Linked DNA regions of Bombyx mori. The main gene of each other region encodes a partner of the protein of the gene in region 2 in a complex. Links are inferred from orthologs where the notes say so. Each region holds a gene or a part of one and is shown on either strand. Other genes may lie near its edges.

Region 1 (2,422 bases), on a different chromosome or scaffold from region 2:
TCATATCATACCACTTGGTATGTGAGTGGTATTTTGGTGGCTTTTCCGTTGTGTTGCTACTTATTCAATTTGTCCCCGATAAGACAGTAGTGCTTAACTGTACCCTCTATACTTGCATACTCCTATTAATGTTACACATTTATTTTGAAAAAGAATCATATAAATTTAAAAATAAAAGTAACACTGATATTTAGTAGCTTTCGTTTGCTTCGTGATTTTGTCAAACATTTAAATTTAAAGGTTCAAAATTAAAATGACCATAAAAATTCTGACTTAAATCTTTTATGGACCACAATTTGAAATCATTATGAACATATAAACTTGTAGGAGACAGGTATTATTTACTTTCTTTCAATTGTCACTACTTTCCAAAATATTAAAAACAAAAGCAAAAACTTTTATCAATTTCATTTACTATGAACAAAATGCATTCTGACATTTCTCAGTATGAAATGGGAGATTTCATAATAGCAATAAAGTTGAAATTTCCATTTTTAAACGCAAATAAAAAAAAATCCAATATATATTTATATTTTTGAACTTGTGTAAAAATAAAACAATCATAGATTATTCTCAATTCTTGTACTGTGTAATGTCAAAACTGGGTTTTACAAGCACTGTGTTATACGAGGGATGCCCATAATAATATATTATTATAATTTTACCTTCTGACATGAACTTTCATAATGGTCTACTCATTAAATACATGACAGTCAGCAAAATTTCAGAAACCCCTATTACCTCAATAAAATAGTGTAGCATTCTCCATTTCTGAATAATCAAAATTAAATATTGTTACTATTTTAAGTTTTGATTTTACTTTTCCATTACAAAGAAAATAAATTACTTTTTGTTAATCCTTCAGTTTCTTTCTGGGACAGAGGTACTAACATTAAGCCTGGAACTGGTGGTTGCATTTCCAGATCTCTCAATGTATTGACTTTGATTTTCAGGTCACTCCTCAATTTGTTTATGTCAATATTTAATTGTTTTTGATCGGCTTCCAGCAGAGTTTTAGTATCTTCAAACTTATGCTTTACGAGTATTGATCCCACCGTGAGCCAATATTTCTTCTGACTTGATTTAGTAAGATCTCTTAACGCTTCTCGATTTTTATTTCTTCGTTTATCTAGCATTATAATTTCATTTTTATCAACAAGAATATCAGATGCAAGTGTTTCTATTTGTTTTAAATACCTCAATAGTTTTTCTTGATTATTTACCATGTTTAGTGCATGTTTAATAACTTTTGTTCGTATTTTTAATTTTTAAACGAAGCCAGCTGATGTCACTTTTTTTTTTTAAGGGATTTTATGACCTGGTAACTGAGACCTTTAAGTCATGTCTTATTTTAATTTATATTCATATTTTTATGAAAAATGATATTATGGAGTGAAATGAGATGAAGACGACTAATTTAAGACATTAATCAACTGGGATGAAATTAAATGAAATGAAATGGGATGAAATATAATCTCAGTAAAATGGTGGTCATTCACTAAGATTTTTTCAGTGGACTTTTTGGAGGATCTCAAGAAGTTACGTCCATTGGCTTTGTTTCATTTTCCCACATTTGTGCACTTTCACAGATATTAAACAGTTAATAAACCACCATTATTACACATTTAAACCCGAAGAAACACTAAATAGAAAAAATAAAACAAATCACACAACTTCACTCCTGAAAAAATTTGGGACGGAACTTGAGAAGAGGGCCAATAAAAAATTTCATATCCTTTTTAATTAATTTAATTTGATATTCTGTAGATATTGTAGCATATTTTAGTTTATAACTGTATATATGTTTAGTTTATAATTGTATATTTTAGTACTTTAGTGTAGATAGTATGGAGTTGGAGGCGGGAACGGATCCCCCGGATCCGAATATTACTGAGGAGACAACTGATACGACTAACTCAAGGTTTAGCCAACCAATATTTTTCTGTGATGAGTTCGACCTTTCCAATGTATCTGAATTTGTCAACGTTAAATCGAAGAAATCCCAAAAAAAGAAACAACTTGTTAATTCTTTTAAACCAAAGATCTCGGACAAACAACTTTCGTTGCGCCCGCTGCAGCAGGCTTTGGCGGGAAATCTTGCAAATAACGTAAATAAGCTTATAGTGCCTCCTCGCCAAATTGTACAGACCTCACCAGAGCCTACTTCAGCGAGTCCTTCTATGACACCATCTGAGACCCCAATGGCTGACTCTGTTTACAGAAAAAAATACACTGAACAGGATCCCGGCCCATATATGGTCCATGTTACTTTAATCTCAGATTCTAATAGTACTACATCACTGCACCCACTTAAATTTGGAAATTTTCTAAAGAAAAGCAATCTTGGTAATATATTACAGGATGGAATTAAACGAGTAGGTCGTAATCGCCTGGCAATAACTTTTAAAACACATAGTGATGC
Region 2 (3,765 bases):
TAAATTTTTATGGTTCATCACTATGCAAATACGAGTTTTTTTTTTCATATCTCTGACTCATCAATTTCAAAGAAATTACTGTTAGTATTCCTCTTTGATATTGCGAAGATGGCTGCCATCATAATACAAAATTCCCTTTGAAAATAGCAGTTGTAGATTGCAGAGGTTTATTTTAGTTTTTGTAACCGGCTTACAAGCATACGACCAGCCTGATGGTGAGTGGTTTCCGTCGCTCATGGACAGCAGCAAGCCCACAGCCAAGTTGCTGCCTACCTCAGAGTAACACCTTCAAGCCACGTTTGAAGAATGACATATCATAGTGCTCAGGAAGTACTGTGGAGTAGATTTAATTCCAGAGCCGGATGGTATGTGGCAAAAAGATATCTGGAAACGCACTGACGATGAACGCATGGTTCCACATAGTATGGATGAACAGTGTGCAGATAAGGTTTTCATGCATTTAATAAATATATATCGATATATGTACACATTAGGAAGTGGCTAGTTATGAAAATACCACTAAAGCTATATTTATACATTGAGTTTCCAAAATACAATCAAAACCACAAAGTTTTACAATTAAGGAGTAAAAACCAAGACACTTATTTTGCTCTCTATTTGGAGAAAAATGTGCATTCTCGAGTACTATGTAGGATACTTTTGATTAGTTAATGATACATACCCGCCTGTACAACAACAATAGCCCTATGAATATTCTCTTCTTGCATTCTTGTACAATATGTCTTTATAGTTTTTATACCAATTTTAGCTTCATCAGGAAAGAAAACAAACATCTGATCCGTTGGATCATCATTATGAGCCACTAACACAATCAAATCACTTCTTGCTGGTCTTTTCTCACTAAAAAAATTAAAATGCTGTATTAATTTCTAGATTTCTTTATAAATCAACTCAAAGTTGATGATTTTCATATTAATTTCATCATTAACCCACAGATTTCTATTGTTGGCCATGAGTTGAATGATCTGGTAACATAAATTTCCAATTATTCACACAGTAACTACATAATCATTTACTATAGAGGTAGTATTTACATTATTCTCTTTGACAACAATCATTTTTATAAGTCAAAGTGACATTTCATTGTGAAATATTTCGATGCTAAATTACACACTTTCAAGAATTTTGAAAGGACAGCTGAAGAAATGGAAATGTTAGATAATAAATTTAAAAACAGTCTAGTACATCGCTCTCTATCTCAGACAGCTCAGTTATATTTTGGTAAGTCAATTTAGTACACAATAATTTTGGTAGAAAACACTCATTATATTGTGATTCCTTAAAAGTTTGCCGACTTGTGCTGACTTTTCAAATTATGAACATTTTATTAAAAGGCTGTTAATGTTCCAAAAAAGTTTTTGAGCAATGAAACTGATGAAAGAAACTGAAAGTAAATTTAAAGATGTTAATAGTGAGAACCTATTAAATTTGGAGATTCCAATAAGCTTCTAAGAAAGATAACAAGTGTTAAGACAAAAACGTTGAATTGCTCTGTAGCTGGATCTGAAACTTAGCAGTACTACAATACCCCTGAACCAAAATGATGGGTCAGTAGTGTTTACAAATCCATATTTGTGTTTTGATTTCATACAAGAGACCTCACTTGCAGCTACTCAGTACTTCAAACTGGATTCAAATTATTCTGACTTGAAATTAAACAACTTGTACAATACATATGTAGGGACAAATTAACAAATTATTAAAAGTTAATTTAATGTTTGGACCATTGAGGCTGATTTGTTAAATATAAAAATATAAAAATTCAAGCTACCTACAATTAGCTTTAAACTGAATAACCCTAACATTATACATATGGATTGACAATGGAAAGATCTAAACATATTTTATTTTTGACAATATAAAACGGTACAGTGCTATCCCACCATAAAAAAACATGTAGCAGATTCAATTATAGTGGACAACTTTAAAATTACAACAAAATATAACAGTGAAAAGAAAATAGAAACGGGGTCTGCAAACTCCACTGATCTTGCTGATTAGTATTAACCGTTGCCAGATCTTCAATCCAGACGCATAAATGTGTCACTGCATGATAGTTTATTTAATACTGTATACGCAAATTATAAAATTAATAAATTTTTTGATGGATGCATTGCTCGTAGCCCGAAGTCCGAATGCCTTTCTGGCTACACTAGAGCGTATCAGATTAATAAGGTTATAAGAACAATAGTATACCTTGGTTTATCGCCAAACTGCTCTTTAAATTGTTCTAAAGTTTGGTCCAATTCATCTTGCGTGACTAAATATCCTCGGTCATGGCACAACTGTAAATATTATGCCTCGGTTACTGTTAGAATCCAACCAACAAGATGAATAGCATCAAATATAACCTCACCTGCATTACAGTTTTACGTATACGCCAGAGTTTGTAAGTTTCTGCGTCATCATCCATGTTTTATAATCTACTTAAAACTGATAAATCCCTTTCCTACAAACGATAATTTCATTGATTCTCTTGTTATAGCTAGGTATTATTACCTGTAAATCCTGTAATCATAAGTGTATAATCTATGCCTGTAATGTTTTTAAAGAATATTGTTTCTTTTGACAGAATACAGATACGCAAAGGAATCACAGTCCATACAATAGATTTTTTTATAGCAAAAGCCATTCATGTCTATCTTTTGAAAAATAATTGATCTTGGAATGAAAATTAATAACTTAAAATATTATTAATTGATGAGATATATACAGCACCGTAGTTGTTAGATGAGATGAAATTAATGAACCTCTCATTAACTGTTCGGAATTTACTGACAATTTAATAAATGAAAGAATCCGAGAAACTGAATTCGGCCACTTTATTCTGTTTTCAGCCCCCTTTTTCTAAAAACTATACGGTTAATATCCATTTTAAATCTTTAAGCTTTGTTGTTTTATCCATATTCAAAGGCAGTATTCTTGGAATTATTCATTTTTAATATATTGTCATCATATTTACATAAAATGAATCATGGTCTGCAATATCCCTTCCTATGGCAGACGCCATCGGAAAAAATGTGCCATGGTGGCAGCCTCCCGCTCCGGTCATGATAAAATAAACGCTTAGCTGGCAGGCGACCGGAACGGTCAGTAATTTGATGCCGCTGTTTTCATTCGAAAAGCGCACTTTAAAACACGTTCTGCAGTGTTCTAACGCATACAACTGCTAGAACGTTAAACAAAGACAAAATATAGACGCTTTCTTAAGTAAACTTACATATGTTTTTAAGAAAAAAAACCTCATTGTTCCGGACTTGCTAACGCGGAGTAGTTGGAAGTGTTTGTGCGTCTATTTTCAAGTGTTTTTAAGTGGTTGACGACAGTATAACGAGATAAAGTTTTGAAAAAGCGATGGAAAGGTATGTAATAAGCATATTTCTTTGTTTTTGTACGTGTTTTGACACGCTTTTCGTGGTAAAACATTGATATCTAACACCTACTCAGGCTTAGCACACGCTCATGTCGGCCAAACAAACCATTCATTTAGCACCAAATATTGGTAGATTTGTGTAATTTATGGAAACAATGAAATAATTACTTAACTATTAACCTTTTCCAAATTGTAAATTTATTCAAATCTTTCATTAATTAGAGAAATATCGAATAAAATAACACGCGTCCCTCCACTGACCGGACCGGGACGATGACAGTTAGGTTATTTCGGGCAACGCGGCCATTTTGTTCGCTCGCTATCATAATATGGATAAGACTATTGGATCTACTTTTATATGGTGTTTGGTT

The links. The genes of interacting proteins can lie anywhere in the genome.
Region 1: DNA-directed RNA polymerases I, II, and III subunit RPABC1 (region 2) and p53 and DNA damage-regulated protein 1 share a complex: the UniProt entries of both Homo sapiens proteins name them as parts of the PAQosome complex. The link is inferred for Bombyx mori from reciprocal best matches to the Homo sapiens genes POLR2E and PDRG1.

Annotation. Positions count from the first base shown.
Region 1 is NC_085121.1:8,869,178-8,871,599, forward strand, and holds p53 and DNA damage-regulated protein 1, read right to left. Parts: upstream 1,312-2,422; 5' UTR 1,227-1,311; coding exon 828-1,226; 3' UTR 568-827; downstream 1-567. UniProt on the Homo sapiens protein: May play a role in chaperone-mediated protein folding.
Region 2 is NC_085125.1:6,611,502-6,615,266, reverse strand, and holds the start of DNA-directed RNA polymerases I, II, and III subunit RPABC1, read right to left. Parts: upstream 2,630-3,765; 5' UTR 2,435-2,629; coding exon 2,378-2,434; intron 2,307-2,377; coding exon 2,218-2,306; intron 1,245-2,217; coding exon of another isoform or gene 1,167-1,244; exon of another isoform or gene 1,117-1,166; intron 862-1,116; coding exon 683-861; intron 1-682. Other genes in the region: piggyBac transposable element-derived protein 4-like, read left to right, coding at 3,376-3,383; leptin receptor gene-related protein, read left to right, coding at 1,167-1,244. UniProt on the Homo sapiens protein: DNA-dependent RNA polymerase catalyzes the transcription of DNA into RNA using the four ribonucleoside triphosphates as substrates.